Linked DNA regions of Diceros bicornis minor. Each later gene encodes a partner of the first gene's protein in a complex. Links are inferred from orthologs where the notes say so. Each region holds a gene or a part of one and is shown in the gene's direction. Other genes may lie near its edges. The genes, in order: GNAI1, RGS1, HCAR1 and HRH3.

Region 1 (7,022 bases):
GATCTCTCTCTTTCTGTGTGTGTATACATGTCAGGTTGTCCTGACTCTGTCTTCTTCTATGGTTCCCTCTTCTCCCCACACTAATCCATCAACATACCAAGCCAACACATCTCAGATAAACTCTCCTTTCCCACTTTTGCTTGTTTTTCTGATGGCAGGATGAGTGGGGAAAAGGTTGGAGGCCAGCAGTTTCTTAATTTTAATCTCAGTTCTTACACTAATCCCATTTGACTTCTGAATAATACAGAATCTCACGGTTGGAAGGGATCCTAAAAGTTCTTCTATATCTAAATCTTTCCCAATATGCGACCATCTAGTCTAGATTGTTACATCTTAGTTAAGAATGTGTGAGTTTCTGAGGTGCGCTATTTCCTTTGTGGGGAATTGTACACTATTTTTTCTCACATCATGATAAAATTTCTTGCTATAGCTTTCTTCCACTACTTCTAAATCTACCACTTGAATCCACACAGAAAATGTCTATTCCCTCTGATTTACAATATCTCTTCAGTCATTTGGAAATAGCTATCATGTCTCTTTGTACCTTCTCATTTGTATCCCCAGTTTCTTCAATTATTTCTTATGACACAGTTTGGAGTTACTTTAAGATTTAGATGCTCTCAGCTGAATGTGTCCCAATTTGTCTTTTAACATGTCTCTAATTTTCTTAACATATGATGCTCAGTATAATTCAGCAATAAAAAGAAGTGAAGTACTGATACATGCTACAGCATGGATGAACCTTGAAAACCTTATGCTAAGTGAAAGAAGCCAGTCACAAAAGACCACATACTATATGGTTCCTTTTATATAAAATGTCCAGAATGGGCAAATCTGTAGAGACAGCAAGTAGATTCGTAGTTGACCAGGACTTGAGGGGATGAGGCGGGGGTGGTGGAAAGATTGGAGGATAATGGCTATGGAGTACAGGGTTTCTTTTTGGGGTGATGAAAATGTTCTAGAATTGAGTGTCATGATGGTTGTACAACTCTGTGAATATACTAAAAGCCACCGAATTGTACACTTTAAATGGATAAATTATATGGTGTGTGAATTACATCTCAATATAGTTGTTTAAAAAATATGATGTCCAGAAGGGAAAACAGTACTTTGAAGTAGATTGCTTTAACCTCTGTATTTCAATTTCATTCTCTACAACATTGATGAGTTAATATATCTGCTCTACCTCCTTGACAAGATTGTTGAATCACATTTTGCAACATCATAATTATGTAAATTATTAATTTGAATGACTCTTGCCACCTCATACGGTATTACTAAGACAATCTACTTGCTGGTAACTCACTTGTTTTGTTGGGTAAGAGATTTTTTTTTTAAATACCTATTACCCAATTCAGGAGAACGTAAGGAACACTTAGTACCCATTGTATAAAGTCCAACTCTTCACCTTAATATTTAAAGCTCTCTTTCAACTTTGTCCCACACTTCCTATCATTCTTCGCAGCCAAACTACATTTCAATGACAAAACAACTGCTTTCTCTAACATGTACATTACACATTAACCCTTTTAGCTGGTTATTCCTCTCAAACAAAATATATCCTATTATGGACTGAATGCTTGTGTCCCCCCCAAATTCATATGTTGAAGCCCTAACTCCAATATAAGGCTATTTTGAGGTGGAGCCTTTGGGAGGTAATTAGGTTTGGATAAGGTTATGGGGGTGGGGCCCCCATGATGGGATTAGTGTCCTTATAAGAAGAGGAAATGAGACTAGAGCACTTTCTCTCCACATGTGAGGGCACAGCAAGAAGGTGGCCATCTGAAAGCCAGGAGGAGAGTATTCACTGGGGAAATGAATTGGCTGGTATTTTGATGTTGGACTTCCCAGCCTCCACAACTGTGAGAAAGAAATTCCTGTTGTTTAAGCCAAACAGTCTATGGTATTTTGTTACAGCAGCCCAAGCTGACCAATACATACCCCTTGGAATTCCACAAAGATCCCCAGTCATGGCTTTCTTCTTCCTTCAAAAGGTTTTTCAAAACTTTCTTCTCTCCGAATTTCCCCTCATACTGATCGCTCCATTCCTATGCCTCCTCTCAGAAGTTTAGCTTCATATAAAGCTATGTTCTTATTCACAGAACTCTTTTCAGTTCTTATTCATCCATGTATTATATTTTGCCTCCTCACCTACTTGATAAGCTTCTCAAATGAGAGGGGTAATGTGTATAATTCTGTTATAATTTCTTTTCTTTAAAACACAAATTTTTTATCATTTCCACCAGTACTCAGTTATGATTGCTTCCTCTTTTCCTGTCATTGTAGGTCCCACACTCTATATGGCCTGAAGCTTATAGGAAAGACAATAACAGATAATCCAAAATGGCTAATACACAAACACTATGTTGAAAGTTCACTCCATCAAGTTTAATTCCAGAGTTTCTGAGGAACATTATCATTTAGAGTGCCAAGAAATACAAAGAGGGTAGAAGGTGACTAAGTACACTTTAAGGCTTGCTCCTTCTTGTTGTTATATTATGAACAGTTGAGGCAGTTCTTGAAATGGCATCCCTTGAGCCCAGCAGCTTTGTAGGAGAACAGGAAAGGGCACGTCCAGTAGGGAGGACACTGACAGTCTCTGCTTGCCCACAGGCCTGGCCTACGTGACCCGCTCTAAAGCTATTCTGACTGTAGCATCAGCTCAGCCTCACACTGGAAAACTCAAGCCCAGTTTTACCAATGGCTTTTAGAAAATAAGACTTCCAGATGCAAACCAAAGACCAATTTCCTAAATTTTAATACATCAAAGAAGATATTTTTCTTTGCTACCAAGCCCATGTTCTACGCAAACAACATTTCCTGAGATGTATGTAAGGGAAAGGTGCAGTGCGCAGTGACAATGGCAGGAACAGACCAGAACTTAAACCTATGCTCACTAATTGGATGCTGAGCAGAATGCCTCAGCAGGCCCCAGGAGCTGATCTCCCCCAGACCATTACAGCTGGGAGGATGGAGTGATGGTGTGGATCAACTCCTCATTTTCTGGGCAAGGAAGCTAAGGCCTGCAAGAAGGAATGACGTGCCCAGTGGCTTATGATTTACTCACATGGTCATAAATATCGGTTCAAACTCGGCTCGGAAGCTTACATGCCGCCCCAGAGGAGAGCAGATTTGTTTGTGTGGGTGTGTTTTATAGCTCTTGTCATTTTAAAATACACTCGTTGATTCTTTGTCTCACATTTTCTCAGGTCGTGAGGAAATCCTTCCAAATGTGCTCTGCTTGTGAAAAGAAACGTGAGAATGGATGGAAGGAGGAAAGGAAGGAAAGGAACACGGAAGGGAGGAAGCTGACCTCCTATCCTCCTCCGCAGACTTTTCTATTCCCCCGTATCCCCAGCTCTGCTTTCGCCACGGCTCCGTTCCCTCCCCAGCTCCCTCTATTTTCCACAGCCCAGGAGGCCGGCCGACTGGGCTTTGCGTTTCGGAAACCCTCGCGCTGCTGCCGGCGCTGGGCATGCTCAGACGCCCAGGACGGGCTTTTTTCCCCTTCCAACTTTGGCAGCTCTCCCACCCGCAGCCCGAAGGGGCAGGTCCGCACAGCTCCCTCGGTGCGAGCAAACCCGGAGAAATTATCCGCGCCCGCGAAGGCAGCGAGATGGGGGGGCTCGTTGGGCAGCTCCGGGTTTCGAGGGCGCTTCCAAGGGGCGCGCGACGCCCGGGTGGCCGCCCTCCGCGCGGGGGCGCGCGCCCGTTGAAGGGGCCGCTGTCCGAGGACACGTGCGCGGGAGCGCGCTCCGGGAGTGGTCGCGGGGCCGGGATGGTGGGACCGGCGGAGGGGGCGGGCGGAGCCGCGGGGGGCGGGAGCGCGCTGTGGGAGTGGTCTCCGGGGGCGGGTGGGCGGGGCGAGGATGGTGGGAGGGGCGAGGCCTCGGTGGGGGCCCGGGGGCGGGGCGGAGCGGGGCGGGGCCACAGGGGGCGGGAGCGCGCTCCGGGAGTGGTCGCGGGGCGGGGCGGCGGCGGCGCGCGGACGCCAGCTCCCTGGGCTTCTGGAGGCTGCGGCGCGGCCAGCGGCAGGAGGCGGCGGTAGCTGTTGCCAGAACCCCGACACCCGGACTTGTGGGGCACCGAGGGGCACCGGGAGCGGAGCGGCCGTGGGGAGCAGCGCGGTGTGCGGCCCCTTTGTGGACAGCGCCTTCCCAGCCGGTCAGGAGGGGCGGCGGAGGTGGCCGGCGCCGGGAGGGTGGATCGCCCGCGTCCGGAGAGGAAGCGCTCACCTGCGTTGGGGACTGCACGGCCGGAGGGCGCCGCGCTCTCGCTCGGGCACGATGGGCTGCACGCTGAGCGCCGAGGACAAGGCGGCGGTGGAGCGCAGTAAGATGATCGACCGCAATCTGCGCGAGGACGGCGAGAAGGCGGCGCGCGAGGTCAAGCTGCTGCTGCTCGGTAAGGGCCGGCGCCGGCCCGGGGCCCGGGGGGCGGCGGGGGCGGGCGCGGACTCCGGGGCGTGCGGAAACCCGGGGGACGTGTCCCGGCCGCCGATGGCGCGTGTGGTAGTGCCCGAGATGGTGTCCGAGGGAGCGTGTCCGGTCCTCGTCCCCCCTCCTCGGCCGGGGAGGACTCCCCGCGGTGGGCGGGAGCTTCGCTTCCCTCGCTCGCGCTGGTGTGGACCCCCGAGGGCCGAGGAGTGGATCTCGAGGAAGCCCTTTTCTTTGGAGTTAGCTCCGCCGTGTGAGGATGAAGGGCACCCGCACAGTAAGAGCCCCCCACCCTTCCTACAAGGTGCGCTCTCGCGGTTGTGGTTCCCCACGGGCAGGAGCGCCAGGCTTTGTGAAGTCAGCGCACCTTCTGCGGGGCCTCCGTGGCTTGCAGCGTGTCTCCACCGGCGACTCGGTCAGTGTGAAGGGAGCACTGATTGCATTGACCCCCCGTGAGAAAGTAGGCTATGCTGGGTGCTCCATTTCTGTTACTGTGGGGTCCCGGAAACCACCAGAGTTGGTAACATTTGCTCTAGTGAGATGCTCGAGCGGAGAAAGCCGATGGGAAAGGTGCGAGAGGGTCACGCCGAAGACGGCACTCCTGGCCGCCTCACTTTCGGATGGATGAGGTTGGCCAGGTACTCGCCAAGGCTTTCATTTGTTCTTAGCATTGTTCTCTTAGTGAAACGCTGTGTGAAGGTCTTTTCCAGTTGTTTGAAAGGAGAGAACATAAAAAGAGTGAGCCAGGGTTTTGACTGAGGGATACATTAGGAAATATTCACAGCCTAAGATTTGTAGTTGTATGAGTTAGGGTTTTCTTTTGTTTGCTTGTTTCCCCCCCCCACCCTATAGTATTTAAGTAGATGAAAGGTTTCTTACAATCTTAATTTGCACTCTCAGCGGTTGCTTTTAATTTTATAACAGTTATAATAAAAGGCAAATATTGCACAAGCTTCTGTTTCATTAGTTTAATGACTGCAGGAAAAATGGTGGTTTTTTTCCTCCGTTACTAGTAGGCTTAGAAGCAGAAACTTGGCGTGACTAAAAGTAATAATGATCTGAGTCATTTTTCGAGCGAACTGTGAAATAACTTTGCATTTTAAAGACCTGGCTGGCTTTCTTCACCCCCACCCCCAACATTAATCTTTCTCAGTTAATACTGTTTGCTTAAGTTTTTACATTAATAAGAAATACCCTATTTTGACGAGGGGAGTGTATTTTTAGTGTATTGAACATAAAAGAGACACACCTTGGTATGGAAACATGTAGATGCTCCTCTTATGAATTGAATGTACTTGAGGCAAAAATGCAAAAAAAATGATTAAAAAGTTATTTTCCTGCAGTTTCTGCACTCCTGCTCTGATATATTATTTCAGTGTATTGTAGTGTGACTCTTAGTTTGAGCCAGCCGTCCACCATGTTTAAAGCAGTTGAAAAATGAACCCTCTGGTGTTATTTTATGCTTTAACTAGATGTCTGTTAGAGAGAGACGGACTGGGATAAAGGTCCAGGAAGTTGGGTTTTGCTTCTACTCAGAAGAGATCGGTGTTTCTCAGTCTTAGCACTGTTGGCATTTTGGGTAGGATGCTTCTTTGTGGTGCAGGCTGTCTTGTGCATTGTAGGATGGGAGCATGTCTTTGGCCTCTACCCATTAGATACCCGTTGTAGCCCCCTCAACCTGTGACCCTTGAAAATGTCTTCATATATCCCCAGATGTCCTGTGGGGGCAAAAATTAACCTCTGCGAGAACCACTGTTCTAGATTAATAAGTAAATATAGTTGAATGTGTAATGAAGAACCAAAAGTTGCATCTCTATAGCCAACTATAAGAGAGAGTTATGAGAAAGTGTAGCAGAGTCGTGATTTTCAGAAGAAATTGCGGAATTTTTGTTTCTCTGTGCCAGTAATGTCAGAAAGATTTCTAAATGATTTTTGAAATCTTTAGGTAACTGAGTTCCGTCTGCTGTCTTCTCTGGCTTGAGTCTTTTCCCTGCATCTCTTCTCTGTGTGGAGATTCTGCCGCATTCCTGGCTTGTGGGCCCAGCACTCCTCCTCCTTCCCCTCAGTGTCTGTCTTACTCCCACTGAACTCTACCCTTTTGCCCAGAATTCTAGCACCCTAGTTCCTATAAACAGAATACTGGCTTACTTATTTAGGAAATCATAATTCTTGAAATGTTTGAAAACATTTCTTTTTCCCCTGATTTGACTTTAGCGGGAAGTGTTGACCTTTGGTTCTTTTCTGGATGTTTAACGTCATATATATAAGCAAGTCAGTGGAATCGTTCCATATAAAACACGGCAACCGAATCAACTAGGAATATAAAATGGTTTCCAGGTAATCTGTAACGAGGGTCACTTCCATTTACATCAGGTCTTCTACCTCTTCTATTATTTTGTTTTTCTCATCACATGATTTTTTTTTTCATTTAAGGCAAAAAGCCTCTAAAATATATTTAAGACATATATTAAATAGTTCATTATATTGCATTTTTCCTTACGGCCTGTATTGTCTTTTTAGACATCTGGGTTGAAAGATTCAGGTATGAAACACACATTATTAGTAAAAAGCTTTGGGTAGTGGGTA
Region 2 (7,605 bases), on another chromosome or scaffold:
ATAGAAGAAGTGTAGGATAATAAACCAAGCCTATTCAAAGAGGACAGAGCAGGCACAGGAAAGAGTGGAACACAACAGACTGCTTGTATCCACAACAAGAGTAGAATCATGCTTAGAGCAGCCACTCTCTTTTGACTTCAATGTGCTTATACAAGCAGGTAGAGTATGACTTATTTTGAGAGTATGATATTTATTATATAAATGTCCAGGTCTAACATCAATACTCGGTAAAAAAAAATAAATATAATAAATACATAAATAAACACAAAAACAAAACATTGGAAAAGACACAGAGAAAGTGCAGATACTGTAGTCATGAGAAATAAATTGCATGGCTTTGGAAAGACCAGAACACGTCAGGCAACCTTGGTAGATTTTCCTAGGAAAATCACATAATTAATGGGGAAAAAACAAAGCAAATAAATCACTGTTGTCAACCACTTTAATGTACAGTAAAAGGAAAGTTAACACTATTAGAAATTTGACTAGACTATTAGTCATTTATTGATGTTGCTTCCTAATAATAAAAATATACTTTCCTTTACAAATTGTCTCTCCATGTTGACCTTCGAGTATCTTTGTTTTTGCATTTATGTCCTGTGTTATGTAACAGAATGTTCCAGTCCAACTGCAAATAATGTGTCAATGTTCTTATAGCATAGTTTTCCATTTATTTGAACTTGGGACTAAGACACTTAGATATTTGCTAAATTTTATTTGCAAAGCATAGTCAAATAGATTTTGACGTGACTACTCTCCCTTGTTGAAATGATTATAAATCATAGAGTGATAGTAAATGTAAACAAATCCACTGTGGAGGAAGTACATCAGAGATAATATTAATCAAAGATTTTTTAGTACTTTCAGAATGACTTGGAATATGGGCTTATTAATGAGAGCTTTACTGGTAAGATGAGATCTAGGGTGAGTGAGGTTTATAGAATCCCAGGAGCCCAGTTCACTGAAGGTCCCACATTCAATTTTCTCATAATCTCTTAAAATATAGAAAGGAGATGTTCAGTGTTGACTATAAGTTGATTAGAACTGGGTGAGAAAAAGAAACTAGATTCTTATCTTGCTCAGTTTGCATTTACTGAGGTCATTGAATTTCACCAAGTTGCAAATATCTTCTCTTTAAAATTGATCAGCTGATTTCTTCATTTAGAAAATAAGATTATAAACAAGTTTAAAATGTTTAATCCTCTTATTCATAAATGATATAAAGTAGGCATCAATGTCCCCAGCAATACTCTACCTGGACATAGAGAAAAATCCCTCCAAATTCATCTTTGTTGAAGCTTTTCAAATAACCTCTATGAAATGTAACTGAAACACAATTGGTAGCCTTACTATAAGGCTGGAAGCTGTCAGAGTGAGCCTTTGTCTTAACCCCCTAACCATTGAGTGGTTATGCTAATTCAACAAAGTCTTTCAGAGCCCCTTTTAAACTCTGCAAGGCTCTGTGTTTACATATAGGATCCATTCTTCCATGATCTTTATACATGTAAGAGGTGTCTACTGGCTGAAGACCAATTTCTCCATTGCGGTGTTTTGTACTTTCCAGTGGGTGTTGATCTCGAATGCAGAAACAGGCAGAGAATAAGTACATGTTGATTGTGTAGTAAGTGGCAACAGTCCTTTTCTTCTGTTCCAGCTTCCAGAGTTAATCGCTCCTCTGTACATTCCTCTCCGATGGCACTTTTCACTTTGATTACTTGCTTAAATACCTGTCTGCCCTTCTCTACTGTGAACTCCCTAGGACAGAGACTCATTCCGCTTTCTATTTGCAGTACCTGTGCCTGATACATTGTAGGACTGAGATTAAAGTTTGTTCAGTCAAGACATTTTCTTTCAATGGATCAACATTTCTGTTCATGTCACCGACTCTTAGCAGTATAGATATATTTTTACTTTTAAGATGCAATCTTGTACTCATTATTGTCCTTTTTCCCATAATTCCTAATGTCCACAACAAAATTTCAGCAATCTTATAGAGGCTTAACATCAGCTTAATCAATATCAAGCTTGAAAAAGTCATTCAACAAAGCAGTCCCTACTAGGACTCAGGCATTGGAGTGATGGGAACCAGAACGTAAAATCAACTTAGCAAAGATTAAAATTTTCCCATCAAAATTGATAGCCATAATCTGAAATGTTTTATTGATCCAATCTCCTAGACATTTTAAAAGATAACACTAGGATTCTTAGGGCAGGGAAACTATTGTTTATAATACTCTGATGGTGGATATATGTCAATATACATTCATCAAAACCCACAGAATGTACAACACGAGTGAACCATAATGTCAACTAAGGACTTTGGGTGATAATGATGTGTCAATGCAGGTTCATCATCAATATATACCACAAATATACCACACTAATGCGGGATGTTCATGGTGGTGAAGGCTGTGGGGTCAGAGGCAGTATGTGAGAACTCTGTACTTTCCACTCAATTTTGCTGTAAACTTAAAACTGCTCTAAAAAGGAAGTCTATTATTTTTTTTTTTTAAAAAAAGATGACACTAAGACTGCATGAAGTCCTCCTTTTCTTAGGACTCCAACCTAGTTACTTAGGCACAATTCAGAGGAAATACACAAACAAGATTATGTTTGTGAGAGCCACTGTTTCTTCTATTAGTTTTTATCAAATCTTCTACAATTTCAACCAAAGTCATTGATTCAGTAAAGTTACTATTTGATCACTTGTCTTTTCTTAATGAGTTTTACAAAGAGGGGCCAGACAGTGATGCTCTCTGTGCAATTAATAGGGAACTTTCAAGGCCCTGCCATGGACTCATCAGCCGTTGCTGGCACAGCTTCGCCAGATTTGCCTGGCCCTGGCGCGTCTTGGCTTGGCATGTGCTAGCAAGCATCCTTTGAGACAGCAGCTCCATTACTATGCCACGGAGGTAGCTTCAACAGCCAATTGTGATATAGAAATTTCAGATGGACCCCCTCTATCAGGAGTTTAATTCTCTATTTAGGCTTGGAAGCATGCAGTTATAACTGCTTGCAAATGCTTAAGCTTCCAAGTCTATATTGAGGTAGCAAAATGTTGGAGATTTAAAGGAAGTATTAATGTATATGATGCGAATATTGATTTTTATCTCAGACTGGAGTTTCCTAAATGTCGTGTCAAGAGAACGTTATTTCTGCAAACTATTTTTCCTACCTAATGAGGGTTCAGTTTTCAAAACTGTTAGGAAGGGCCGGCCCCGTGGCTTGGCGGTTGGGTGCTCGCGCTCCACTGCTGGCGGCCGGGGTTCGGATCCCGGGCAGGCACCGACGCACCACTTCTCCGGCCATGCTGAGGCCGCGTCCCACATACAGCAACTAGAGGGATGTGCAACTATGACATACAATTATCTACTGGGGCTTTGCGGGAAATAAATAAATAAATAAATAAAAATTATAAAAAAAACTGTTAGGAAACTGCTGCATATTCTACCCTCCTTTTAGAGACTAACAAATGTGCATTAACTTATTAAAAGCTCTCAGAATATCTGCATTGATCAATTTAAGAACTTTATTTAACTTTAACCCAGTATTTGCTACACTAATGTGGCCCCGTAAGCTTTGCAACTGTTGCTGTTGTAGTCTTTATTATGCTTATTAACATCCAAAGGAACTATTGTTGCTGAAAGATACTTTGGAAATTGTCAGGATGTTTGGATATTAGTAATAGTGGGCCACTAAAAATAAACTTTAAATCATTTTTCTCTGACATAATTTACCCACAATTATCTAGAGGAACGAGAGAAGACTAGATAAACAAACATGAGCAGGAAGATCTTAACAGATAAGTAAGTATGGACTGAACCACAAGAAATACACAAACAAATGCTTTTATGTCATCAGTTTTTGAGCCCTGTCATTTTTGTTTGGGTCACTGCCAAAGTGGCTGGTTCATCTCACTAGTTCTTTTTCTTTCTTTTATTTATTTTTTTGTGTGTGTGAGGAATACCAGCCCTAAGCTAACATCCGATGCCAATCCTCCTCTTTTTTGCTGAGGAAGATTGGCCCTGGGCTAACATCCATGCCCATCGTCCTCTACTTTATATGGCACGCCGCCACAGCATGGCTTAACAAGCGGTGCCTCGGTGCTTGCCTGGGATCCAAACCTGCGAACCCCAGGCTGCCGAAGCAGAGCGCACGCACTTAACCGCTGCCCCACCGGGCCGGCCCCCACTAGTTCTCTTTCTAAATGAATTATGTTAATTTTTGAACATCAAGTGATGCTTCCTACAATAGACATACAATATATGTTCATGACTGTGTAGAAAGTGAATTTTGAAATACTATAAATGTGATTCCTCCAAATATTTTTTATCTTGATGATAGAACCAAGATAGGAAAAGTAATACTCCCTTCCCTTTTGTCAGCTTTACCTAACACCATCAGGAGCCTCTCTAAGTAAAATTTGTTTTATCTTTTCAGGGGCAAAAACCAAAGGAGGTTTAAGTTAAACTGGACACTCTGTAAACAAACCACACTCTATATTAAACTTCATAAGAGCTTATATTGCACTAATTCCTCTGCCCTGATCAGTGATTAGGCATCTAATTCCTTGGGGGTATTTTTAATCCCTAATCTTCATTAGAGCTAGACAATATCTCTCCAGAGATACCGCCGAAATTTGGGAGATCATCACCTAAGAAGTACACACTATTGGCCTGACCAAATATACTGTTATTTTACCTTGAGCAGTTTTTCCTCTGATACTGTGCAACTCTTTAGTATCAGTATATTTACATATATGTCATATTTTTGTGATAACTATACTTTTATTTGCTTATAGTTTCGTTTTAATTTTACTTTATTCTTATCCCCAGCAGTAATATACAGAAAAATCACAGTTTGATATATTAGTTACACTCCTAATAAATATTAAAATCCATGCGCCCCTTAAAATCAGCTTATATACCACCAGTTGAATGTCTAGCACACACCTTGGGAAATACTAACATGAAAATATCTTGCCGTGGAAATAAGGGATGAAGGTTGGAGTGGGGAAAAGTTAAGATAACCTCTCATAACTCTCCTTCCTACCAGATATATGCACAAATAAACAAAAAAATATTTCTTTACACTCAATACATCTCTAATATTGAGTTTCTTTGTGATACAATATATCCACCAAATGAAACATTTTATTGAAATATGCAATTTTATGAAAAAACAAGCATCACCTAGAAGGAAAGAAGCATGCTGCTAATGCTGTAGACATGTGATGTATATGTGTGTGTCTCTGTATGTTTAATTCTCTTCCTTTCTTTCAAATCAAGTGACCTAGTCTCATTCGGTTAGGTTTCAACCACAAAACATCACTGTAGGCTTTTTTTTTTCAAGATACACGTCACAATACACCAAGAAAGGGGGAACTTCCAGCGTCTGTGGCAATATCACTTGATAAACAGACTCAGTTTGAACAGCAGGAGCATTTACTATATAAAGCAGCAGAGACGGCGGCTAGCAGACACTTGCCTTGCGAGGACGATGCGAGCAGCAGCCGTCCCCACGCCAAGGTTAGACAAAATGCCAGGAATGTTCTTCTCTGCCAATCCAAAGGACTTGAAAGGAACTGATCACTCACTTCTAGACGACAAGACGCAAAAAAGGAGGGCAAAGACTTTGTAAGTTCCTTCAGTGCCTCATTTTGTGAATTTTGACTTAGATTATCTTTAATGGCAGAAGGATTGAGAATGAGTAGAAGAAAATATGAGCATTTAGTTTGGCCAGATCAGAGCAATTATCTGTTCTGAGTTATAAGTATATACAGTTGTATTAAAAAATGAATCATGATTGGGCAACAAATTAGGTGAGAACTTTTCCAGACTTTGGCCCATAAAAATGGGCTCAATCTTAACAGAGCAAAATGTTGTATCAACTATTTTTATTATTGTCTTATTCCTTGGAGAAGTTTATTTCATGCTCTTTTCTTTTTCAAATAAAATGTATTCTACCGAGGAAATATGAATATTTACTTTTGTGTCTTTTATAGTGGAATGGATGTGAAAGCATACTTGAGATCTATGATCCCACATCTGGAATCTGGAATGAAACCTTCCAAGTCTAAGGACATGTATGTACGCTAATACTCCGAATGATCATTATAAAAGTGGCCTATGCTTTAGCTCTATATTCTAGCAGGAAATTCTATTGCACTTAATGGACTTCATTTTTTTTAAATAACAAGCCTAATAAGATTAGATTACATTAGTACCAATGTAAATTACATACAAACGTGTGTGCATGTATTTGCTATTTACCATACTGTTGCAGTATATGTATCTGGATTTTTTCACATTTTATTGGCAGATATTTTCGTAACTACAGTAATTCTAAGGGAAATTTTGTTTTCATTTGGCCAAATTTTAATAAAATTTATTAGAACTAGAGTCTTAGTTTGTGAAGTTATCACAGTATAGCAGCCATTCTAATACCATTTGTGCTTACACAAAAAAATATTTTACTAATTTAGGTAAATTTTGTCCCCTACAGACTCTCTGCTGATGAAGTAATGCAATGGTCTCAGTCTCTGGAAAAACTTCTTGCCAACCAAAGTAAGCATAGATGAACTATTGAATGTTTAGGAGTTTAGCTCGATACACTAACAGATTGAATGGCTTCATTCAAACATAGTATTCTGGATAGTAGAGTGTGTGAAAAGTTGTATTCCAGTTTTTCTGTAGTCGCTGAGAGCTTCAGCACATTATGCCTCATTGTGGTGTAATGTTGACTTAACACTCAGCTCTCCCACTGTCCTCTAGACAAATTTGCCAGGACAATTCAGTGTTTCCACGGATCATTATAGGAGCGAAATTAAAAATTACACTGGGGTTCTGAAATCTGAAGTTTTTAAAAGTAAACCAAACATCTCAACATGTGAACTGCTATTCTGAAAGCTACCTAAAGAATGTCTTTTTGTATGTTGGATGTAAGGAGGAGGATTCATTCAGTCAGTTAATGGTTTTATCCTCCATACATTCATGAACTCACTCATTCAGCCCACTTTTCTGTGGCATGCGTTTCAGAAGCACCAAGGATTCAAAAGCCAAGACACAGCTCCTTGCCACCTTACTGTCTTGCAGGTGATTGAGACACACAGTACATAATTGCATTATATATAACATGACATGTAATAACACAGATATGATAAAAAGCATTTTTAAACACAGAGTCTTGTGGGGAGTTTCTGATGAGAGAAGGTAAAGAATGAAATCAGCTTGCCTTACCCTCATCACAGGCACTGCAATTCTATTGGGATCAGGACCTGGTTCAGAGGTGTAGATGAGCAGCTTGTCTCTATCTAGGGGGTGAGCTTATCTTCTTCTCCCCACAAACACCTGAAGGAACCTTGCTTGGAGATGAGGAAGTTCAGCCTGGTTCATCCGTCTTATTATCTGACTTAGTTTATAATTCAGCCAAACAGATAAATGGAATAGAAATGGCCCATTTAAAAGTCTCTGTAACACTAGCAAATATAATCAGTACATAACACATAGGTCATATATAGGTCTCACATTTTCTGACTAACATGAATTGAATGGGGAAATTATATTTGTTAGTGATTAACATGATGTTAATGCCCTTTGTCAATGT
Region 3 (6,105 bases), on another chromosome or scaffold:
GAGTTCTGGAATCACTTGTTCATTTACTTATTCAGGACATATTTACTGGGTGTCCCCTTGGTGTCAGGCGTTGGGCTATGTTCTGGGCGTGCAAAGCTGAACTGGACCCAGAGCTAGTCTTCATAGAGATGGGGGCTGGGGTCAGACACGTTACAATACTGCATGCTAAGTGCGGGGGTGGCAGAAATGGTGCAGAGAAGAAGGTCTAACCCAGACTAGAGAGGGAAATTCACAGAAGGCTTGGGGGTTAGAAGAAGTGGTGTCCCATGGGCTTCCTATGTGGTAGCCCCAAACTACAGGTGGCTTTTAAATTTTAAATTATTACAATTAAAAGATATTGAAAGATCAGTTCCCACTAGCCCTATTTCAAGTGCTCAATAGCTACATGTATATTACAGAACTTTTCCATTATTGTAGAAGTTCTATTGGAAGATACTGGTCTAGGCTGAGGCCAAAAAAAGAGGAGTTATCCAGGACCAGGAGGGAAGGAGATGTTCCCCCAGTGGTCCCTATAAGACAGCCTTTGGATACTAAACATAGTTATGGCTCTTGTTGGAGGTGTCAAGGCCGGTTCCCGTGGTGCCTTGTCAGCCATCTCGAATTCCCTGCTAAGGACAAGAGGGAGCTATTCGAGCATTCGACCAGATTTGATCTTTGGAGGATGGATTGGAGGAGGACCAATCGGGAGGCAGTTGTGTTCCTCCAGAACTTTGGACCAGCCAAAGTGGTAGCACTGCGGGTGGAGAGAGATTTAGGGCATATGATCAACAGATTGGGGATTGTGGTGAGCAAGGAAGGAGAAGGAAGGAAGCTTACTGCTTAAGCTATTTGATGGATAGAGCTAACAGTTCCCTTTGTCTGATGTGCAATCTGAGGAAGAGGATGAGAAACTTTTTTTAAGTGATAATATTGATGTGGATATCTATAATATCCCCCATATGGCTCACCATGGAACACATTAGAAAGAGAAAACAGGGACTCTGAGCCCGCAGAATTTGTGGTTGACAATGGGCAGTACTGGAGGGCAGGCAGAGAGCAGAGGAGGGGGAACAAAAGCCTATTGCTTCCCTTCTCTCTTTTTCAACTATTCCTCCAATGCTTTACAATGCCACTCACTCAAAAATGGCTCCCAACCGCCACTGAATTCAAGGTCCCCTGCAAAACAGCCCCACTGGACATGCCTGTCTTGTTCCTTACAGTTCCATGACATAGACTCCAAATTCCAAACTCCTCGAAGGTTCCTCAGATGCCCCCTCCAGCCTTACTTTTTCCATGCTCTTCATTTTGTCTGGAATGTCTGTTCCTTCTATTTTTGCCCCTAGAAATTTTAACAACTCTCCCTCATGCACAAAACTCCAATGAACCAGTTGCATTTTTTTAAAACACATATTAAAATAAAGTTATAGCTATAAAGTCAAAATATATATGTATATTACTCTATATCACCTAAAATAATCTCACCTATCATCTGTGGTGTATCTACCACATTTTGGAAAATATTACCTTAAACTACTTATTCTATTTGCTTTTATTTATTGTTATTTACGTACTTGTCTTATTTCCCCTACTAAACACTGAGCTCCAAACAGCAGATAATACCTTCCTCTTTCGGGAGATCCTGAAGCATATAGCAAAAACACCTAGGAGGTCCACTGAATAAACATTTTTAAATCAATAAAGCTTCTATTTTACATTAGGTACTGTAATAGTAGCTAGCAGTAACAATAAGATCAGTAACAAAATTTGGTTTAACATTGTTTTTAAGACTACTTTTCTTAGAGCAGTTAAGGTTCACTGGAAAATTGAGGGGAAGGTACAGAGATTTCCCACATACCTCCTGCCCCCGTACATGCAACAGTAGACCTTCAGAGAAAAAGAAACCTATCTTTTCTTTCTTAATCCTCTGCCTTCCAGCTAATTCTACAGTCAAAGAGAGAGAGAAGGTGATTTGACAAGACAGAAAGAGTGTGGAAAAGAAAAGCAGATGTTTGTCACGCAGGAAAAGGGAAGCACTTGTGTTTATAAGAATCTCAACAGCATCTGCCAGCACAGAAGCAAGAATATTTTGTATTTGTTGAAAAATCCAGCTTGACCATATTAAGGTATTCAGAGTTACACACCCTGGAGTGTTGCCCACCCTGGAGTGTTACAGCCCACATTAGTTACCTCCTGTTAGTTCACGTCTTCTCACAGAATCCCAGAGGCCCCCAGAGTGAAAGTGTCTGCTATCAGCTCTCATGAAAAGTAGAAGCTAGTCACTCAGATCCTTATTCTATGTCCTTCCTGCAAGAACATGGACTTTGTCTCCAAAGACCTCTTGGATTATTGAGGGAGCTAAATTTAGATGTCTGATGGACACGCTTATTTATTAGAAGTTATGAGACTAACAAGTAGGGTGTGAGGAGGAAAGTGGCAGGAGAATGATATTGGAAAGGTAGTTTAGGAACACCTGTGAAGGGCTTTGTATACCAATCCAAGTAATGTGACCTTTACCTAGAGCCGAGGTGACAAACTCAAAATACCACAGAGACCAGGCATGTGAATGCTTGAAACTGACCATGTAATAGGGAGTTGTGGGGACTGTGGCAAAATGGAGAGTTCTTGCCCTGACTAAAGGAGGCGGCTACTCTCCGCTCCAGCTGATTGTTACTATGTGGGATTGTTGGCCCAGTGCGGCCAGATCTTCAGTTTCCCAAGAGATGCTGAAAATCCAGGTTTTTATAGGATGGTCCCAGGTTTTTAAACCAAACTGGTTTTTGAACCAGATATGGCCCACAGGCCATCTAGTCTATCACCTTGGTATTGAAGAGAACTAATGAAGGTTTTTAAGTGAGAAAAAAGGATATGATCATATCTGTGCTTTAGAAAAACCACATTGTGGAATGAGAGAGGAATTACAGGGAATAGACTAGAGGAAAGGAAACCAGTTAGGAAACTCTTTCAACAGTTTCAACAGGTGGGAGGTGACAGTGGTCATGCTAGGGTGAGGGCAGAGAGGGATGTTGTCGGGCTAATCTGGAGTGCAGGCTTCAGTGGGAAGAATTTAGCTTAAGTCAGCATCTGGAAAAAGGCATCCGCATGCTTTCAACGCACTCCCTCCCCCACCCGTTTCCTCAGCTGGGAGCTGAAAGGCACAGGGCAGATAGGTCAGCTCTAAAGCCAAAGGAGAGGAAATTTTAGCAAAGACTCCCATCATTGGTGCAATCTATTTTTACCTACAATTATTTTAGAGATAGACTCCTTGACCAACCGCCCTGACCTTCATTTGCCCCCGTCAGTGGGCTCAGCATTAATTGATTTTATTTAATTGATTTTAATTAAAATTAAAAACATATATCATGGGCTGGCCCCGTGGCTTAGTGATTAAGTGCTCATGCTCCGCTGCTGGTGGCCCGGGTTCGGATCCCGGGCGCGCACCGACGCACTCCTTCTCCGGCTATGCTGAGGCCGCGTCCCACATACAGCAACTAGAAGGATGTGCAACTATGACATACAACTATCTACTGGGGCTTTAGGGAGAAAAAGGAGGAGGATTGGCAATAGGTGTTAGCTCAGAGCTGGTCTTTCTCAGCAAAAAGAGGAGGATTAGCATGGATGTTAGCTCAGGGCTGATCTTCCTCACAAAAATAAATAAATAAATAAATCAAAATAAAAACATATATCATGGTGTTTGGCTTTTTTGAACAGCCAGTGGGAAACTCAGAGCCAAATCCTCTTTTGCAAACAGCAGAGGGAGGAGCTGGCTCCTGTTTCACAGAGACAGATCCATGAGAAGTGGCTTCAGATGCATTTCATGGTCTTGCTGGTTGTGCAACTGGTCACTTGGGTCCACGGAAGGGTACATAGGGTCGGAGTTGCAAATGGAGGGAGGAAAGGCAACACACTTCAAGGAATTTTTTTACCAACCAACAAGTGCAGTTTTCAGAGCTTTTTTCCTCCGCAGACCCTTCCAAGGTTTGAGTGCTGTATTTCTGGGTGTGGGCGCAGGAAATGGCTCTGAGGACGGGAGAGCAAAGCCTCCCGTCTGGCACAGCCTGGGAGCGCCCCCTGGGACGGGGGAGAGGACAGAGCGGTCAGGCAAAGGTTAGGGAGGAAAGCAGAGGCAGAGGCCCAGAACGGCCCCGGGAAGTGTTTGTATTTCTCCACCGGGAGGGAGAACAAACAAGCTTTTCTCGTACCTTCTGAGCAGCTTTGTGTGCTCTCCAGCACAGAGTGAGTCTAAGGAGAAGGCATAAGGCTGAAAATAAAACCATTCTGGGGCTGGACCCCACAACTCCTCTCCAGCATGAATCTCATCAGAGCTGCCAGCCGCTTCCCCGAAATGACCGCTTGTCCGAAATTACATGCATTTCAAAGCCTTGAGATGCTACAGGCTTCGGCTCTCGGGGACACAAGCAGCTTGTGACCCAGGCTCCAGAGAAAGGACTTCCCCGAATCTCTCGTTTCCTCACTGGTTTCTGTTCTCCTGGGAGTGGCTGCATCCACGTACACGTGTGGTCCCTGCGTCCCAGAGTGAAGAGGTTGGAAAAACAGCAGCCGGGCGAGCAGTAGCGTCAGATAAGCATCTGTGTCTTTGTGGGGACCCCACAGCCTGGCACACAGAGCACTTGCCCTCTGTCCACCATGGACAACGAGTCATGCTGCGTCATCGAGGGGGATTCCATCCCTCAGGTGATGCCACCACTGCTGATCCTGGCCTTCGTGCTCGGCGCCCTGGGCAATGGCATAGCCCTGTGTGGTTTCTGCTTTCACATGAAGACCTGGAAGCCGAGCACTATTTACCTTTTCAACTTGGCCGTGGCCGACTTTCTTCTCATGATCTGCCTGCCCTTTCGGACAGACTACTACCACAGACACAGACGCTGGGCCTTTGAGGATATTCCCTGTCGGGTGGCGCTCTTCATGCTGGCCATGAACAGGGCTGGGAGCATCGTCTTCCTTACGGTGGTGGCTGTGGACAGGTATTTCAAAGTGGTCCACCCCCACCATATGGTGAACACCATCTCCAACCGGACTGCGGCTGGCATCGTCTGTGCCCTTTGGACCATGGTCATCCTGGGCACTCTGCATCTTTTGATGGAGAACCATCTGTGTGTGCAAAAGGAGACCATATCTTGTGAGAGCTTCATCATGGAGTCAGCCAATGGCTGGCACGACGTCATGTTCCAGCTGGAGTTCTTCCTGCCCCTTGGCATCATCTTATTTTGCTCCTTCAAGATTATCTGGAGCCTGAAGCAGAGGCAGCAGCTGGCCAGGCAGACTCGGATGAAGAAGGCCACCCGGTTCATCACGGTGGTGGCCGTTGTGTTCATCATATGCTACCTGCCCAGCGTGTCGGCCAGACTGTATTTCCTCTGGACGGTGCCCACGAGCGCTTGCGATCCGTCTGTTCACGTAGCCCTCCACGTTACCCTCAGCTTCACCTACATGAACAGCATGCTGGACCCCCTGGTGTATTACTTTTCAAGTCCTTCGTTCCCCAAATTCTACTCCAAGCTCAAAATCAGCGGTCTGAGACCCAAACGTCCGGGAGGCTCCAAGACACGGAGGCCAGAAGGGACGCCAATTCCAACCTCTGTCGCAAGAATTGCATCAGTGTAACAAATAGCTTCCAAAGCCAACCCGATGTCCAGTGGCATCTCCGCATGTGTTGAATGGCACTAAAACAGACAAACAGACAAAATCAAGGAGGACAGATGGACGACTTAGAAATACTTCATGCTAAGGGGTAGGGGGCTTTGAAAATGCCACCCTTTCTTAGCTGTATCTTCCTCACTGTTGGAAATGAAATTCGGGTTACTACGCTTTTTTGGAAGGTCCCAGTTGAGATGTGAGTCGGTTGCATATATATGATCTGATTACAATGACAAGGGACAATATATGCATGTAATGGGGCATGTGTGTGTTGGGCAGGGGGTTAGGAAGAGCTGGGCTCCTGTGTAATTTTAAATGGCTGAGTGAATAGGTACCAATGTTTAAACTAGTCCTGTGCTCTCTCTGAGGGAGTTAGTGAACTTAATGACTTACCAGTATTTCCTGTCTTCTGACCTTAAATTGTTACTTATCTTGGGAAATAGAAACTGAAGTAAGTCAATACTTTTATTT
Region 4 (7,050 bases), on another chromosome or scaffold:
CACCTAAGCAGGTATGTGAGGACCATCCACACAGCCCAATGTAGTCAACTCACCACCAGGTGGTGATTTGTTCTCCTCAGGGAAGGTGCCAAACTGGGGGCTCAGCATTGGTCTAAGTCGGTGGTGGGTCAGACACTCAGAGGTGGCAGTGGCCAGATCAGCCTCTGCAGGGGGGAGTCCACGCTCCTGGTCCATGCGTGACCTCTGGCGAGACCACTTCATTTGTGCTGTCATGCCAGTTATGGGTGGCCAATGACAGGGGCTTGCTGTCACCTCTTCCTAGTGGATGCTTCCTGGTGGGTGTTTGTGTGTGACACAAAAACCTTCATGCTGGTGCCCATAGTCACATGTCCATCCATGTGGTCCAGCCCAGAGCCCCTTGTCTCCACCTCCATCCTGTTCCTTCCAGGCCCCTGACCAGCCCACCAGGACATTGGCCACTGCCCCTGAATCCATAGATATTCTCAACTGGGCCACTTTTCCGTCCACACAAAGGGCATGACCAGGTGCTTGAAGCTCTGCCCACTGGAAAGATGTGTCCCTCGTCTCAGCTGCAACACAGCAGCAGACCCCAAAGGCACTGCCACTGGGGGCTGTCAGCTCACTGCACCCCCTTACACCCCACGGCCCCCTGGGCCTCGTGCCCTGGCACTCCCCGTCCCCTGCCTTGCTTCATTTCTCTCCAGAGCACTTGTAACCTCTGACGTGTGCGTTACTTACTGCGTTACACTTGCCTCCCTACACTAAAACGACTTAGCAGAGAGCCTGAATTTAGGTGCTTAATAAAACCTTGTTGAATGGACAAATGAACCAATCAATTGATGAGTCAGTAGGGGAGCCATCTCCTAGGGAAGGTTTGCAGGGGGTCTGGTTTGGCTAATCTGGCTACGGTTTGTGTGGATGGGGCATTTGCCCAATGGCTTCCTTGTTGGACTAGACAATTTGCACCCCAGATGCCGGCTGTTTTGACAAATGAAGAAACCAGGGTCCCAGGCCACTCTCTTTGAGGGAGTCTGGGTGAGCCGAGAGTAGGGGTTTGCCCTTGTCCCCCAACCCTTAGCCAGCTTTTCCCAGCGTCTTGGAGGGTTCCCAGCCATCCTGGGGCCTGAATACCCAGTCCTTGGGTCAGAGCCCCCAGGGCAAGATGCCCTGTGGACAGCCACATGGGGACCTGCCTTATTCACTCCGAATTGCCTTGGCCAAGTTAGGTCCAGCCCAGAGGACACCAGGCTCCTGTCCAGACTAGGTCAATGCTCTAAGAGTTGGTACGTTTGCTCGCCTCAGGGCCCTTGATCTCAGGGCCAGGAGTGTAGCCATTAAGAGAACAGCATCTGGCCTTGTGTGACCTGGGGCAGGTAGGTGGCTTCCCCGCTCTGGACAGGGGCTACTGGTTCTACTCTCCTTGTAGGGGGAGTGGGGAGCTAATGAGGTCATGCATCTAAGTGCAGATGGGGGGTGCTCACCACCCTTGGCCATGGTCATCCTCAAACCTCTGGGCCAATCCTGGCCCTCCCTCTCCTGGTGGCCTCCCTTCACAGAGGAAGATCTCCACGCTCAGAGAAATTTGGTAACTCCCCCGAGGCACACAGCTGGGCCCCCGGTGCCCAGGTCTGAACTGAGTCCATCTCTCCCCCCAGCTGTGGGTGAGAGACCACCAAGGAAAGCCCCAGAACACTGATAGCCACAAGGACAACTGTGGCTAGGCTTGACTGAGACTGTAAAGGGGCCGCCCTCTACACAGACTCCCCCCTGACTCAGCCCTCTACCCTGACAGTAAGCAGCACACAGTCTCCATTCCAAAGTGGGGATCCTGAGACTGGGGAGGGGGCTCCCAGCCAGTGATTGAAAGAGTCAGAGCCCCCCTCTCAACCCCTATCCAACTCCATCTCCCAAGGCCCGGGGGCAGGGGAGCACCCCTGCAGCACTGTCTGGCCAGAGCTGGCCTCCGGGGAGTTGGGGAGGAGCAGGGCCTGGGGGCTCCACTCAGCAGGCAGCTGCTGGCTGAGCAGGGGTCCATGAGTGCTAACTCAGCACCAGAGGCTCAGGAAGTCGCGGACGATGGGAGCAGCACCTTGTTGCCCCTCCAGGAACTCTCCACCCCGGCTTGTCTCACCATCAACCAGCTGCCTGGTCCTGGCACAGCCCTGCCCACCAGGCACGTTGGGGTGCAGTGAGGGGAAGCTGGGGGAGCCTGTAAGAGGAGCAGGGCTTACTGGTGGAGAGGAGGAGTGTAGCCAAGTACTCAGGAAGAGCTTCTGGGAGGATGAGCTGGAGCCCCCCACCCATCCCCCAGCACAGGCTGCGAGAAGCCGTGAAAGAGTGTCTGCTGGGGCAGGATCTGGGGTCTCCTCCCTGCAAGCAACCCTGAGGAGGCAGTAGAGGGAGCCCAGCCCCCACTCCCCAAAGTTTGTGAAGCACCTCTTGGGGCTAGGGGAAGGGGTGGGTCCTGGCATGATCAGACAGCTGCTATAAGTGTGGGGGTGCCCGTGCATGCCAGTGCCTCGGGGGCCGTCTGCCACCCCTCCTCTCCTCCCGGCAGCCTCGCAGCCCCCACCCCCACACGCAGATACTCATGTTCCCATCCTCTTTGAGGCTTCTGCAGATGTGCGCCGCTGGCGACAGAGCAGAGAGTCACTGCTTCCCTCTCCCTCAGGCACTGTTCCCTCGCTGTCTGCTGTCTGATGGGTGTCTAACTGCCATTCGTGGATCCCTAGCTGGGCGGCTGTTTCCCTGGTCTGTAGGTGTCTGTGTGTCTGCGTGTGGGCGTGTCTGTCTGTCTCGCCGTGAGTGTCTCCTGCTGAATCTGTCCTTGACCCTGTCTATCTGAGCGTGTGTCTGGGGGGAGGGGGCTCTCCCTCCTGCCGCCTCTCCTCCTCCATACCCGCAGGCGCTAATGCCGCTGCCGCCGCCTTCGCTGTGCTCCGATCACAGTGACCTCGTCTGTCCCTGCAGCAGCGACCGCCTCACCGCTCTGTCCACCAGGGGGAATCTTGGCCGGGCTCCGAGTCGCTGGCTGCTCCGTCCTCAGCCTGCGGCCGCCTGAGCCCCAGGTGGAAGCGCTCCTCTCCTGGCTGGGTCCACTGGCTCCCCATCTTCCCTTATGTAACTCCACATCTGTCTGCGCCTTGCAAGTCACCCTGGACCCTGCGCTGGGCCCACGGGGAGACTGAGACCCAGAGTCCCATGCACGTGGGGGTGGCGTGGACCCCTGGCCAGCGCACGCGCTCTGGGAGACCCCTCCCATCCTTCCTCCTTGGGACGTTCCCTCCCCCAAGACCCGCTTGCCCGAGCGCGAAACAAGGCGGGTCCCGCGGGGCAGGTTCCCCGCGCGCGGGCGCAGGTATTTCCTCCGCCCCCACTCCAGGTCCTTGCAGGTGCGCCGGATCCGGACGGAGGCCTGCCAGGAGTCAGCGGGCCTGAGGGCACGGGACAGTCCGAGCGGCCCAGAGGCCGGCTCCTGTGTGCGCGGGCCGGCCGACCGCAGGCGAGCCCCCAGCGCGGCGCCCGCCCTGCCGGGGCCGGGCTCCCCGCCAGCAGCCGTGCGCACGGGGTTGGGGCTCCAGCGGCCGGGCGGGCACGCGGCGCTGTCCGTGGTGCTGCCGGCGCCGGGCGGGACGAGGGCGGGGCGGGGGCGGGGCGAGGGCGGCAGCCAATGGCGGGGGCGCTGCGCGGGGCGCGGGGGGCGGCGGGCTGGGCGCGGGGCGCACTCGGCTGCGCGCTGCACTGGGGCGCGCCGACGCTCTGGCGGCGGCTCCGGGTCGGGCTCGGCTCCGGGTCCGCTCGGGCTGCAGTGGTCGTGCCTCTGGCCCCATTCGGCTCGGATTCCGGCCCGGGCCCCCTCGGTGCCGCCCGCCCCGGCCCCTGCCCCGGCCTCGGCGCCCACGGACCATGCGCCGGGCACCGCCCGGGGATCCCGGCCGGGCTGAGAGCCCGCAAAGACCAGGCTCCCGGGCCGGGGCCCCTCCCGGACGACTGGCCGGCGGTCCGCGCCCTGCCCTGCGCTTCGGCGCCGCGTGAGCCGGCGGGGCCATGGAGCGCTCGCCGCCCGACGGGCCGCTGAACGCGTCGGAGGCGCTGGCGGGCGAGGCGGCGGCGGCGGGCGGGGCGCGCGGCTTCTCCGCTGCCTGGACCGCGGTACTGGCCGCGCTCATGGCGCTGCTCATCGTGGCCACGGTGCTGGGCAACGCGCTAGTCATGCTCGCCTTCGTGGCCGACTCGAGCCTCCGCACCCAGAACAACTTCTTTCTGCTCAACCTCGCCATTTCCGACTTCCTCGTGGGTAAAGCCCCCAGTCGCCGCCCGAGCGCAGGAGCGCCCAGCCCCGCCCGGCCAGTGGGGACTGGAGCTCGGACCTAGGGTGCCTTTCGCTCGGGCACACGCCCCGTCAGGGGGCCCGGCCTGGGGAGGAGGCGTCCAGGAATCGTGGGGCGGTGGGCGCTGGCGAAGTTCCTTGCCTCCCTGCCTGTGGGACTGGTGCTGGGGAGGGATGTTCCCCGGGAAGGGGCCTGCGCCGGCAGGCGCTCGGCGAGGCGCAAGGCGCAGCGGCTGCGGGTGCAGCGCTGGCTCCTGCGTTGTAGCCAAACAAAGGCTGCGGCGGATTCAGGACGCGCGGAGGGCGCTGGGGGGAGATTTGGGGGAGGGGACGTGGAAGGGGGTTTTTAGAGTGTTGAGGGAGGGGACCGGGGAAGGCGTGGGGAGATGCTTCTAGGAGCGCGCTCTCACGTGTCCGTGCGCTGCTGCCAGCTGGGGGCGGGGCGCGTAGGGGGCCGGAGCGCCAGACACCTGTTGGGGCTGCGAAGTGCGTCTGCCAGCGCTGTGAGCCGGGCTTGGCGGTGGGAGCGGCTGGCGGGGCGGCGGCCAAGCGCCTTTTGAGTCAGGAGAAAGGCTTTCTCGCTTTCTGAGCTGATGAGGAAGAGCTGTCCAAAGGCCAGGGGAGGCGCAGGGGTCCAGCAGGCCAGAGAGGGGAGGAGATGTTCCTTCTTCCTCCCTTTGGGGACTGGGAAGGCTGAACAAAGCCTGGGAAGTACCAAATTAAGGCTCGGGGTGTCATGGTGCCTGCCCATGCCTGGAGCTTCCCTCCTGCGCCCAAGTCCAGGGGACTCCAGTGGGACTGGGGGCTGGGCAGGGGTTGAAGGCAAGTGCAGGGTAGAAGGTGTGCTGAGGGGATCAAGTGGAGGGGTGGGTAAGGTGAAGGCTGCTGGTCCCAGAAAGGTGGCCACCATGTGACTCCCAGGTCCTGCCTGTCTCTCCACTGTGGTGGGTCTGACCCCAGGCCCTTGTCGAGCCTTGGCCCACCATGCCCTACTCTCCCACAGGGGCCTTCTGCATCCCACTGTACGTGCCCTATGTGCTGACTGGCCGCTGGCCCTTTGGCCGGGGCGTCTGCAAGCTGTGGCTGGTGGTGGACTATCTGCTCTGCACCTCCTCCGTCTTCAACATCGTGCTCATCAGCTACGACCGCTTCCTGTCGGTCACTCGCGCCGTGAGTCTGGGATGAGGGTGTCCACATTCACTCCTGGAGGAAGGGGGACCACAGGAGGCACCAGGCAAAGGTTGCCCCCTTCCTAGTTGTAGGTGGTGCCAGGTGGGCTTGGTCCCTGCTGACCTCACACCTGACACACCAGGTGCTCTATGGCTGGCTGCCCACTCAGTAGCCATTTGCTGCGGGTAGGACTGATCCTGGGACACACAGGAGGCACAGTCTGGACCCGGCATCAGGTGTTCCTGAAGGAAGGGGGTCACTTCAGCTTCCACCCTGGGGCAGGTCCAAAGTCCCTGGAGCCGAGGGAGGATCTGGGTCAGAGGTCCTTGGTGCTTCCCCACCACAGGGGTGTGTGTGTGTGTGTGTGTGTGCGCGCGTGCACGCACGCGCGTGTGCGCTCATGTCTGCGCCCCTGGAAGACAGGTGTTGGCTCCTGGCTTCACAGGCTTCGCTTGGTGTGAGTGGCCACCATGAGTTAGGGACCTGAGCTTCCTGCGTCAGTGCCGTGCGGGCACACAGCTGCACTGGCACGGAGGTCTCTCCTTTGCCTTCTCATCTTCTCTTTGATGGCTTATCGGGCACCCCAGGGCCCTCTGCTGGGGGTGCCACATGTGTCCCAGTCTAGAGGGGTTGTGGGACAGAGTGCAGAGAGCATAGGTCGGGGTCAGACAGACTTGGGTCAAACCTCAGCTCTGTCCCCTGGAGCGGATTTTCCTGTGGTCTCTCCCTCCCTCCCTGAGCCATCGGGAAAGTGGGGATAATGACGGAGTTGTTGAGGATTAAGTGAGATGATATCCAAAAGGTGCTGAGCACAGAGCCTGGTGCACAGTGGGTACTCAGTAGACAGGGGACCATGACAAGACACCCCCCCGGGAGCGCACAGCTGGTGGGGGTGCTAAACAGGCAGCCTGGCACAAAGTTAGCATTCAGATTGGTCTGGAGCAGGTTCTGAGGCTATAGGAGAATGTGACAGGGCATCAGCCAGCCCAAGATGCATGGCACAGAGGGGAGAGAGGGTGGGGAGGAGAAGGAAAAGGCATCGCTGTGAAGGAAGGCAGTGCACAGAGGCCTAGAGGCTGCCGAGGAGCCCCCAGGCCAATATTCCTGCCACAGTAGGCAGCAGCCTGCCGGCCTGGGCTCAGTCCCCTTCCCTCCTGACCTAGCGTGTCCCACCGCAGGTCTCCTACCGGGCCCAGCAGGGCAACACGAGGCGGGCGGTGCGGAAAATGGTGCTGGTGTGGGTGCTGGCCTTCCTGCTGTATGGGCCGGCCATCCTGAGCTGGGAGTATCTGTCCGGTGGCAGCTCCATCCCCGAGGGCCACTGCTATGCCGAGTTCTTCTACAACTGGTACTTCCTCATCACTGCCTCCACGCTCGAGTTCTTCACGCCCTTCCTCAGCGTCACCTTCTTCAACCTCAGCATCTACCTGAACATCCAAAGGCGCACTCGCGTCCGGCTGGACGGGGCCCGCGAGACGGCCGACCCTGAGCCCGCGCCCGAGGCCCAGCCGTCCCCACCACCAGCCGTGCCAGGCTGCTGGGGCTGCTGGCAGAAAGGGTGCAGGGAG

What was found.
Region 2: the proteins of GNAI1 (region 1) and RGS1 are in contact, whole or in part, in a crystal structure (PDB 2GTP), measured with the Homo sapiens proteins. The link is inferred for Diceros bicornis minor from reciprocal best matches to the Homo sapiens genes GNAI1 and RGS1. Residues at the interface, in NP_002060.4 of Homo sapiens: Val179, Lys180, Thr181, Thr182, Gly183, Ile184, Val185, Gln204, Ser206, Glu207, Lys209, Lys210, His213, Ala235, Glu236, Asp237, Glu238; in NP_002913.3 of Homo sapiens: Ser105, Glu106, Phe107, Ser108, Glu110, Asn111, Ser143, Asp144, Ala145, Ala146, Gln148, Ile149, Asn150, Ile151, Asp152, Phe153, Arg156, Leu181, Lys184, Asp185, Ser186, Arg189.
Region 3: the proteins of GNAI1 (region 1) and HCAR1 are in contact, whole or in part, in a cryo-EM structure (PDB 9IZD), measured with the Homo sapiens proteins. The link is inferred for Diceros bicornis minor from reciprocal best matches to the Homo sapiens genes GNAI1 and HCAR1. Residues at the interface, in NP_002060.4 of Homo sapiens: Glu28, Arg32, Leu194, Asp315, Thr316, Glu318, Tyr320, Phe336, Thr340, Asp341, Ile343, Ile344, Lys345, Asn347, Leu348, Asp350, Cys351, Gly352, Leu353, Phe354; in NP_115943.1 of Homo sapiens: Lys48, Ser50, Thr51, Leu54, Arg113, Lys116, Val117, Pro120, His121, Asn125, Thr126, Ser128, Leu203, Arg206, Gln208, Leu209, Gln212, Arg214, Met215, Lys217, Ala218, Phe221, Ile222, Ser281, Ser282, Pro283.
Region 4: the proteins of GNAI1 (region 1) and HRH3 are in contact, whole or in part, in a cryo-EM structure (PDB 8YUU), measured with the Homo sapiens proteins. The link is inferred for Diceros bicornis minor from reciprocal best matches to the Homo sapiens genes GNAI1 and HRH3. Residues at the interface, in NP_002060.4 of Homo sapiens: Ala31, Arg32, Glu33, Val34, Leu194, Thr219, Lys314, Asp315, Glu318, Ile319, Tyr320, Thr321, Thr340, Asp341, Ile343, Ile344, Asn347, Leu348, Lys349, Asp350, Cys351, Gly352, Leu353, Phe354; in NP_009163.2 of Homo sapiens: Asn69, Asp131, Arg132, Ser135, Val136, Ala139, Val140, Ser141, Tyr142, Arg143, Ala144, Gln146, Ile221, Ile225, Arg228, Arg232, Phe344, Thr345, Phe348, Arg349, Arg352, Asp353, Lys355, Val356, Ser359, Leu360, His416, His417.

Annotation. Positions count from the first base shown.
Region 1 is NC_080742.1:17,728,163-17,735,184, forward strand, and holds the start of GNAI1 (guanine nucleotide-binding protein G(i) subunit alpha-1), read left to right. Parts: upstream 1-4,006; 5' UTR 4,007-4,286; coding exon 4,287-4,404; intron 4,405-7,022. UniProt on the Homo sapiens protein: Guanine nucleotide-binding proteins (G proteins) function as transducers downstream of G protein-coupled receptors (GPCRs) in numerous signaling cascades.
Region 2 is NC_080777.1:22,037,407-22,045,011, forward strand, and holds the start of RGS1 (regulator of G-protein signaling 1), read left to right. Parts: upstream 1-4,583; 5' UTR 4,584-5,499; coding exon 5,500-5,636; intron 5,637-6,004; coding exon 6,005-6,085; intron 6,086-6,504; coding exon 6,505-6,566; intron 6,567-7,605. UniProt on the Homo sapiens protein: Regulates G protein-coupled receptor signaling cascades, including signaling downstream of the N-formylpeptide chemoattractant receptors and leukotriene receptors. Inhibits B cell chemotaxis toward CXCL12.
Region 3 is NC_080774.1:7,532,573-7,538,677, forward strand, and holds HCAR1 (hydroxycarboxylic acid receptor 1), read left to right. Parts: upstream 1-4,623; coding exon 4,624-5,601; downstream 5,602-6,105. UniProt on the Homo sapiens protein: Acts as a receptor for L-lactate and mediates its anti-lipolytic effect through a G(i)-protein-mediated pathway.
Region 4 is NC_080758.1:1,873,007-1,880,056, forward strand, and holds the start of HRH3 (histamine H3 receptor), read left to right. Parts: upstream 1-4,029; coding exon 4,030-4,279; intron 4,280-5,315; coding exon 5,316-5,482; intron 5,483-6,660; coding exon 6,661-7,050. UniProt on the Homo sapiens protein: The H3 subclass of histamine receptors could mediate the histamine signals in CNS and peripheral nervous system. Signals through the inhibition of adenylate cyclase and displays high constitutive activity (spontaneous activity in the absence of agonist).